Linked DNA regions of Schizosaccharomyces pombe. Changing the gene in region 1 together with any one later gene gives a genetic interaction. Each region holds a gene or a part of one and is shown on either strand. Other genes may lie near its edges.

Region 1 (4,964 bases):
AGACGGGGCGCAAAGACAGATATAGCGCCAACAAAAAAAGCCGACAATAACAAGGACAAAAAAATTCTACTTGTCCGTATACTGTGCAGTTACTATTCTTAGCTTGCAATTAAAGAATGCAAGGTACTAGTACGATCGTTCACCTAAAGGGTTACTTTATGTGATAGTTGTAAAGGAAACGATATCTTGGCTTATATATCGCTGGTGATTTACCAAACAGCGAAAAAATCATCTGAGGTAAACTCACGCCATTTTTTGGCATACAAATTTTATCAGCGGATTAGCCATTTACAGTTCAAAGATTACGATTTATATATTTTAAATGGCTCTCAAAACTCTTTAGATATTTGGACTTCTTTTCACATATACCTATTTTCGTTTGTCCATAGAGGCAAGGCTTGGAAATGTACCCAAAGATAGTGGCGAGGTGCATGATAGTGATAACTAAAAATAGGGAATCAGAACGCAATGTGTTAATTTGTTATCGAAATGTAACGAATGTTTATTTTTCGCTCCGAATTCTCCTAAATCGGCAAAATGAAGGGAATAATTGCAAGTATAAGCTTGTATTTTCTCTGTATCGAGTATCTTTCAGACGGATGAGGCTGAATGATCGGCAACTCTCTTGCGTAGAAAGCGTTACTAACGGGATCGGTTTACTGTGCCTTAAACAAGCCGACCAAGTTTGTCTATTTACTCCGACGGTTGATTCCCATCTGTGATTGCATCTTTTATCCTTCATATTGAGTCATCCTGAATGGTCCGCTCAAAGGGAACTTCGTCTATCTCGGTGCGCTTAATAAACGCTTGTTTTCGTGATGAACAAACCCTTTGCAGTGAACCCATGACCTTAATCGTTTCAACTTGACATACGGCCAATGAGCGTAGTGACATTAAATAAGAGTATCGAGTTTTTTCTTCTTTTTCCACTTTTCAAATTAAGCTAAATTCAATGTTTCGTTGAGTTTCTGTATGTAACAGCATATGAATGGCATGTGGTATTGGAAACAATGTGAAAGCGGATATCAATATTGCATTCGTTTAAATTACTGGTTTTTATGACCTCACATACAATCATTAAAACGGCTTTCGACTACATGCGACCAACAGGCTTTCACCATTGTTTTGTTTTTATTCATTTCCTTTTACCTACTGCTATTTTATTACTCGCTGGTATCATTATTTCATGACTACTGGCAATAAGCATATCAACAACCGCCCACCGAATATCACATTATTAAAAATGCTTGATATTTCTAGTTAACAAACTTGTACTTAAAGCGTCACAACCGAAGCAAACCAATAAATAGCGAAAAAGGCTATTCGCCATGGGAGCATTTATTAGAAACGGTGAATTGTCGAACGTGATAGCAGCGCATTGTTAAGTTTTACAAAGATGGTTTACATCGTCTAAAAGCAGCTTGCTAGAAAAAGCATACAACAATATCATAAAAAGCTTTTGTCGGTCAAACCTTGATGGGTTACTTCAAAAGAAAGTTGGAATTAAAGAAAAAGTAGAGGTAAAAACTTTGTTCAAGGAAAGGGGGGAGCGTAAAAAGTATTCCAAAGTACAGGAACGCTATACAATCATGGGATTTAAATCTTAGACAAATACATCAATGCATAACAACAGGATATCGGTTCTCATCAAGTATGATTTCCAAACAGTGTGGATTCAGATGTACTTTATTAGATAAGGTACCAAGATAAAAGACATATTGGGGCATATAATGATTAACAAATTCAATGACTTCTTCATCACTCATACCCTTGTGGATCCGAGCTTTCAAAGCATGCTCTTGCTGCAGTCTCCATCTGTAAACATAGTTTATCTCTTGTGCCTCTAGTTCCACCAAAGAGTCAATTTTTTGAAAGATAGGCTGATAATCTGCAAGCTTTCTGTTTACCCACAGTAAACTTCCTTCAATATTTTGCCAACGTGTTGATCGTGCTCGGACAGACAGCATGCAAGAATCGAGCGGCTCAAACCCAACCATCCATCCTTCAAAAATTACATAGGTAGTTGTTTTAGGATTTGCCTTTTTCCATTGGGATTCATCTCCCCTATCTCCGTAGCCACCAAACTTGGATTTATCGTAAAAAGGGATAGATACCTCCTCATCGCTTCCCTTAACAAATGCATTTAAAACATTATTTAAAAATGTGACATCATGGGTTCCAGCTAAACCACGATGTTGAACAAGAGGATTATTGGGATTATTTTTGGCCAATTCAACTTGTTCTGCGTGCGTGAGGTAAAAGTCGTCAAGTGAGAACTTCACAACTGATTCGTTCTTCCTTGTTAATTCGGTATCTAAAGCACTTGCCAGTGTGCTTTTACCAGATCCTTGAGGGCCGGAAATTCCAAGAATAAAAGGACGACCTTCAGGTTTTGGCTGCTTTTCCAGGAATTTTAAAATTTTGTCGACAATGATTTCCAACGAACTCATATTCCACTTCTATATAAAATTTTTAAATTAAATACAAAACCTAGCTTCCCCTTAAAAACGACTTAATAACATAAGTATAGGAAAGACGTAGGACTAATACTCGAAATGTGAAAGAAAGCGAGGTGCTGTAGCTATATGAAAATTCAATGTTAAGTACCACAGTGACTAGATACTTTCGTAACGACTACCAGTAAAGGACTACAAACACAAAAAGCTTTTTAAAAGGCTAAAGTCGTTATGCAATGGTTGGATTTTACCAACAAAGTTTTGTTACGGGATGTTGTATCACTAACATTCCGTTACGTCTCATTTGTGCCAATATACTGAATGCTTGCGTAAACTCTGTAATACTTGGAAACGGCTTCACTGCGCCTCACTATTTGGAAAGTTGTAACGCTGTAAATGTTTTGTTTTTACCTATAAGTAAATAGAAGATACATAATAAAATTTGGTGATGCTCTGGATTTTCAGGGATAATAGAATTTCTGTAGTTATATTTTCTACAATGACGGCTAACTTTTAAATTGTTTAATCTTGATGCCATGCAGTATAGCTCAAATGCTGAAGAATTTAGGTAATATGCATTTTATACTTTGTCTTTAAATTGTCATACTTGTCTCTTGCGACTTTTATAGCTAAATAATAATATTCCAGTGCTAACGTATGTGTTTTTTCTATAGTAATCCAAAAAAAACACGCAATTTATTGTGTCAGTAAATAAAGTAACTTGTAAAAATAAGTTTAGCTGAAATGTACAACAATCAGTCCCCCATCCAATGCGATAGCAGCCGCAGTTACAAATATTATTTATATTTAATTATTACATTTTGTTTACAGGTACATAATGTTTGTTAACACTTTTTGTACGTTTAATTAAACTAAAAGTATTTATTTTTTTAACATATACTCTAAAAAATTAATTTACTCAAGTTTGAGTTATCAAGAAAATTTAATCTACAATAATTATTTTTGAAGCACTTATTTGTTTTAATAGTATATAGTCTGGTGAAACAATTAGAATTCGTCTGTAAGTAGTAAAAATACAAAAATGTTTCTATGGTTTTCATATCATAAATACTTACACTTCACCCGTTTAACTTAAAAACTTAAGGTAATCCGTAGTACACCAAATTCTTTTCTTTTCTTTTTTTATTTTTTTTTATTTTTTAAAATGTATTTTATTTAAGAAATAATAAATAAAGTCCCTTATCCAATTCCACTAGATATAAATCGTTAGTTTAGAATTTACCAAAATACTTTTCAATAGCTGTCGTATATACATATTTATACACATTTATTACTTTCTTTTAAAAATAACTTATATCAATTATATCGTAACGTAACTGATGAGTGGAATCATTTAAAACAATTTAAGAGAGAAGTTGATATTGGCTGTTTATTTATCCGAATTTTTTTATGTTATAGTTCTACCATATTTGGCGGTTGTTTTCTTTATTTTGATTATTTTTTAAAAACAATTGAAAAAGTTTAGTTAATAATCAAGTAAATCTAATAACTATATATACAGTTTTCAAAGCACAATATCAACTGAGGCTTCGTGGTGTAGTGGTAGCATACTTCGTTTGGGTCGAAGTGGTCAGGGGTTCGATCCCCCTCGAAGCCCAAAGCCTTTAAATTTTTGTTTCAAATATAAAAAAAGTTGATTTGTGCTTGTAAAGTACAAACCGTATAAAAAAAGGAAACCCGTTTAATATTCTGTGTAATGGTTAAAGGGTTGCATAAATTACCGCTCTTTAATTACATATTAAGAATTTATCATACATTGTCCAAGCTCTTCTTGTGCTGAATTTTTATAAGTAACGCGACACTACTTCTTTCATCGTAAAAACTTTTCAAGTAATTAGGAAACTACATTTATGAACCATTTACTGTAAATACAATTATATTTTCATCTGGGAGATTAACAAATATTTTATCACTATTTGAATGCGTCCCATTCCAGTGAAGAATCGCATTGGAAAAAACAACATTGATAATGCAAAGGGACTGAAGGGGAATAAGCTTATTCGTCATTATCATAACCTGTTAAAAGAGAAATCTCGACTTATTGCGTCAAGTGCTCCGATTGAAAAAATAAAAAATGTGGAAAGTGAACTCGAAAATATAGGTATTGATGCTTACCAACGAGCTAGTCGATCCGGTCAAGCGGAAGGAAAAGGAGGGGATTCAAGTAAAATATTGATAAAATGGATTCGGACAACTCCCTGTTTTTCGTATTGCGCACGTCTTAAGGAGCCGAAAGATTTGTTGGAAATTGGCAGTGTTTCTGTTGACAACAAATGTTCAACTTGTGGACTTTTCCGAGTTTCAAGGATTGATTTGCATTCTGTTCATCCCTTGATTAAACAACAGGACTTTCTTGAAAGAACTCCTGAAGAAGGACTTTTTACTGGGATAAGTTGTTCACTTGTGCTGAATTTTGCACCTCCAGAACTCCGAGCTAAAATGTTATTACATTGTACAGGATTGTTAATGCCTCCTAATAAAGAACAG
Region 2 (5,293 bases), 2.9 Mb from region 1:
GCTAAAGTCGATCTACGAATGCTCATTTGCATGTCATTTGCACTTCAACCAGGTACCCTTAAGCCACTATTTTCATTACTGGCTGACGCTATCTCAAAAGAAACCAAACCCAGTGTCTGGGGAGATAATTTCCTGCGCATAATTTTGATAAACCTTCCATATTTCATCGCAGCTAACAACGATCTCGGTAAAAAGGATTTTGCTAATGAGATACTGGATCAATGTGAGATTTACGTTCGTCATAGGAAATCTTCGATAACTCTAAGTAATCCCCTTTCAATACATGACAATCTTTCAGAGGAGGAATTGGACTTACTCTATAAACAACTAATTCTATCTCGGGAAAACGACTTTACTTTTCCTTATATATCTCAACCCTGGAAGTTTTTTGAATCTGATTTCGTTCATATTGTTCCGGTTAGCCCAAGTATTCCTGAATGGACGTTTCAGCCCACTCCTCAGCAAAATGAGCTACCTTCCTTCAAGAGATTTTTTGAGCTTTTTAATAACTTTGAAATTCGCACGACTCCTGACGCTTCCGACGTTGCAGCCAGCATATTTCGTGATATAAGTGTGGATGTTATAAACCATTTGGAATTTAACCGAGTTGAGGCTGCTCAAGTTCTTACAGATTTAGATGTTTATTTTACCTACAAAACTTTTGCTCTTCGTGGTACTCCAGTAAATGAATTACCAAATTTAGATCCATCGGAATCACGTTGGAAAGCAGAAGATATCATAGTTGAAGCTGTTTTGGGTGAGCTTCTTGGTTCACAGAATACTACGTATAAACCTGTCTATTATCATTCGCTTTTGATTGAATGCTGCCGTATCGCTCCTAAAATTTTGGCTCCAACTTTTGGAAGGGTCATTCGGCTAATGTATACCATGTCTTCTGATTTACCTTTACAAACACTTGATCGATTTATTGACTGGTTTTCACATCACCTTAGTAATTTCAACTTTCACTGGAAGTGGAATGAGTGGATTCCTGACGTTGAGCTGGACGATCTTCATCCAAAAAAAGTTTTTATGCGGGAAACTATTACTAGGGAACTTATTTTAAGCTATTACACAAGAATTTCTGACTCACTCCCTGAAGAGTTACGTTGTTTGCTTGGCGAACAACCGTCGGGTCCCAATTTCGTGTACGAAAATGAGACTCATCCGCTATATCAACAGTCAAGTCAAATTATCGAAGCATTGAGATTACATAAACCGTTAGAAGAACTTGACATTATTTTGCAGAGCGAGGAGATTCAAAACTCCGAGACATCTGCTGTCCGATTAGTTATGTCTTGTGCTTATAGCTTGGGTTCGAGATCGTTTTCGCACGCATTGAACGTGTTCGAGAAACATCTTAATACATTGAAACATTTTTCTCGAAAATCATTAGATTCCGAAATAGAGGTTGTTGATGAACTTTTTTCATTTTGGAAATTACAACCGTTCAACGCAGTTATGTGGCTAGATAAAATGCTGAACTACTCTATAATTAGTATTACCTCTATTATTGAGTGGTTGATCAAGCAAGACGTGACTATATGGTCTCGTAGTTATACGTGGTCACTTGTTAACACCACTTTTAATAAATTAGCAGCTAGATTGCGGCGTTCGGTTTCTAACAAAGAAGACTCTTCGCTAATCAATGAAGCGAATGAGGAAAAGGAAATTGTCACGAATTTACTATTGTCAGCTTTGCGCGCCCTTATTTCCGAAAATGCTGAAAATATATGGGTATCTCATTGGCTTAACCTTATGTTAAAATATGTGGAATCAAATTTCCTCTCTGTTAAAAAGGACACGATAGAAGAAGCAAACGAGCCTGTTCAAGAAAATACCAGTGAGGAACAGGAAGACACAAAAATGCAACCCGTCGACGCAGTAGATGAGCAGCCATCAGAAAATAATCAAACAGCAGCTGATGCAACTAATGAGGAAAAATAAAGAAAGTAGTCTATAACAAAAATGAAGAAAGTGTTGTTTTGATATCAAAAAGATTAAACTGAAGAACTCGACTGGTAATCACGACGTTGTCAATCTGCTACAACGTTTGAACGTGGATATAGCTTATATTAAATATTTAATTATAACGTCCCATTTTCATAAGCACTTGTAGGACGCTGCTGCACTTCACAGTTAAGTTACTAGAAACGAAGATTTCAATTTTATAGGTAACAGGGTTATCAGATCTATCAGAGGTAACGGATATCTAAAGATAAGATATTTTACGATCGACTTGTCGGTTCTAGTTTTGCGTAGTGTCATACTATGTGAGCGAATGGATAAGCGAAATGTTCACTCACATCTCCGATATCAGAAGTGACTAAATCTTTTCTCAGTTTAACGAAAGGATTGCTAAAATGTAACAAAATCACTACTGCCATCAGTAACTTACACTTAACCAACCACTTTGTGCTATTGTAAGAAGTAGTGAGGAACAGAGGCAGTTTGGTGGATAGAACTAGGATTTAAGGGACATTTGCACAGCTACTCCTTCTCAACTTAGCTTCGTCGAATATTTCATTTACTTTAAAGGATAAAAAAACTGACACAATATGTTGGAAGTACGTGCTGCCGTAAAGGCACCTTTCAAGTTGGCTGCCGCAGGCCGTGGTTTCATGAATATGCGTATGGCTTCAAGCAAATCTTTTCAAAAGATCACTGTTAAAAACCCAGTCGTTGAAATGGATGGTGATGAGATGACGAGAGTGATTTGGAAGATCATTCGTGAAAAGTTGGTTCTCCCATATATGGACATTAAATTGGATTATTATGACCTTGGAATCGAAGCTCGCGATAAGACAAACGACCAAATTACTGTGGATGCAGCCAAAGCTATCCTCAAAAATGATGTCGGTATCAAATGTGCCACCATTACTCCTGATGAGGCTCGTGTGAAAGAGTATAACCTCAAGAAGATGTGGAAGTCTCCCAATGGTACCATTCGTAACATTTTGAATGGTACAGTATTTCGGGAGCCCATTTTAATCAAAAACATTCCCAAGTATATTCCTGGATGGACGAACCCTATTTGTATCGGGCGTCATGCCTTTGGAGATCAATACAAGTCAACGGACTTGGTAGCTTCAGGCCCCGGTAAGTTGGAACTTTCATTCACCCCTAAAGGTAATCCTTCTGCTAAAGAAACATACAATGTTTACGAGTTCAACGGTAGTGGTGTAGCTATGTCTATGTACAACACTGACGACTCTATTCGTGGATTTGCTCACAGTTCTTTCCAAATGGCTTTGCAAAAGAAAATGCCACTTTATCTTTCCACTAAGAATACAATTTTGAAAAAATATGATGGTAGATTTAAGGATACATTCCAAGAAGTATATGAATCTGATTACAAGCAAAAGTTTGAGGAACTAGGTTTATGGTATCAACATCGTCTAATTGATGACATGGTAGCCCAAGCTATTAAGTCCAATGGTGGTTTTGTTTGGGCATGCAAAAATTACGATGGTGATGTTATGTCGGATGTGGTTGCCCAAGCTTATGGATCCTTAGGCCTAATGACTTCTGTCCTCATTCATCCCAACGGTCGCACTTTTGAGAGTGAGGCTGCTCATGGTACTGTACAGCGTCACTACATGCAATACTTGAAAGGTAAGAAGACTTCAACCAACAGTATTGCCTCTATCTTTGCCTGGACTCGTGGTCTTGCCCATCGTGGTCGTTTAGATGGCAACGAACGTTTAGTTAAGTTTGCCAACGCCCTCGAGCATGCTTGTGTTCGATGCGTTGAGAAGGGTATTATGACAAAGGATCTTTACCTTCTCAGCAAGTCTCCCAATGGTTATGTTGATACATTCGAGTTTTTGGATGCCGTCAAGTCCGAGCTCGATTCGGAATTGGTCAACATTGCCTAATTTTAGTGTTAGACCTGTTGATTAGTGAGTCTTTGAAGTTTAAGTTCTGGATTATTCAATCATGTTTTTACTAGGATACTTTTTGTTAAAACAATTATTTTGAAGTGTGTGCATTTATATTATTTTACAATTAACAGTGGAGTGTAGGAAGTCATTTCTATTAATCATGAAATTTTGTAAATTTTTTATGCATATTCAGACCATGACACTATTATCTAATTTTTTTCAATTTTTTCCCCTTAAACGTAAAGGAAAAAGCTGAATGATTATTCATTTATTCATTGAAATCTTTCGGATTTCTTGCCGTTTATTGACTACAAATGTATCTTGATTCTTTAAAGCTTTGCTTCAAACCCACTTAAACATATTTATCTAGCAATTGATTGAGCCATAACAATTTAGGTAAAGGTCTAATATTAAAATTCAACAACTGAGCTAATAAACTAAACAATTGATGGACGTAAACCCCAACTACATTAAATGTATATCACTATGGAAATGCTTTCTATTATGTTCGAATACAATGAAGTTGTAACAAATATCATTTTAAAAACTGCTACTACTTAATTACTTGTAATTTCTGTTAAACTGATAAATAAAGTAAGCCTTTGTTCTTAGCTCCAAATGTTTTACGCAGCCAAATCTTACGCGCTGCAGTGTGGCTGTGAGCGTTTGGAAAAAACTTAACGTAGCATTCATAATGCTAGTTAAGACACTATAATGTGTTGGATGCCAGAGGAAGCATGCTAGCCATGCAATACACACTAACCAAAACAAAACACTGGCCATCATCAGTCTTTTGCTAGCACAAACGATGGTGTCAGACATGCTTGGCGGAAATAAGAGATGGATTTTATTTGGACTCTTATCGTTTCTATTGAACTGCGTACTTGTCTCGTGTAGTGTTGAAGACATTGAGAAAGCAGCGAATGATTCGTTTTTATGGGGTCCGTATAGGCCAAATTTATATGTTGGAATTCGTCCTAAGATTCCTGATTCGTTAATGACAGGACTTATGTGGTCCAATGTTGATGACTATGCTAGATTCTCAAGTATGTCGCGTTTGCAGCTGGACATACATATAGGTATTAACATTATTTAGAAATGAGACACAGTGCCGAACATGGAGATGATATTGGTGCCTTTGGATGGAAGCATTACGATGTTCGTCGGGGAGGACAGCAAGTGATCGATGATTTTCTCATGGGTATCAAACTTGAAACTGATTTTGTCAAGTTACCCGAAGGAAATTGGGCTCTTCGTGTGCACGGTATTCCTCTTCCTGGAGCACCAACTGACCTTACTACTTCTCTGTTTTTTTACGCGTATGTTGAGGGCGAGGGTAAAGTTGGTACCAAGGTTAACCATGCCAATCACGTATATATGGAAGGAAAAACCCCCGACCTCGGAAAGTT

Evidence for each region.
Region 2: mutations in mug58 (region 1) and idp1 together harm fitness less than expected from each alone (positive genetic interaction), as found in Schizosaccharomyces pombe (one large-scale study listed by BioGRID).

What each region holds. Positions count from the first base shown.
Region 1 is NC_003424.3:361,153-366,116, forward strand, and holds mug58 (glycerate kinase), read right to left. Parts: upstream 2,706-4,964; 5' UTR 2,451-2,705; coding exon 1,617-2,450; 3' UTR 1,096-1,616; downstream 1-1,095. Other genes in the region: protein mug177, read left to right, coding at 405-722; rRNA (adenine) methyltransferase Bmt2, read left to right, coding at 4,398-4,964. UniProt on the Schizosaccharomyces pombe protein: Has a role in meiosis.
Region 2 is NC_003424.3:3,228,978-3,234,270, forward strand, and holds idp1 (isocitrate dehydrogenase Idp1), read left to right. Parts: upstream 1-2,402; 5' UTR 2,403-2,558; coding exon 2,559-3,878; 3' UTR 3,879-3,999; downstream 4,000-5,293. Other genes in the region: cbc1 (nuclear cap-binding complex large subunit), read left to right, coding at 1-1,947; glucosidase I Gls1, read left to right, coding at 4,693-4,930, 4,981-5,293.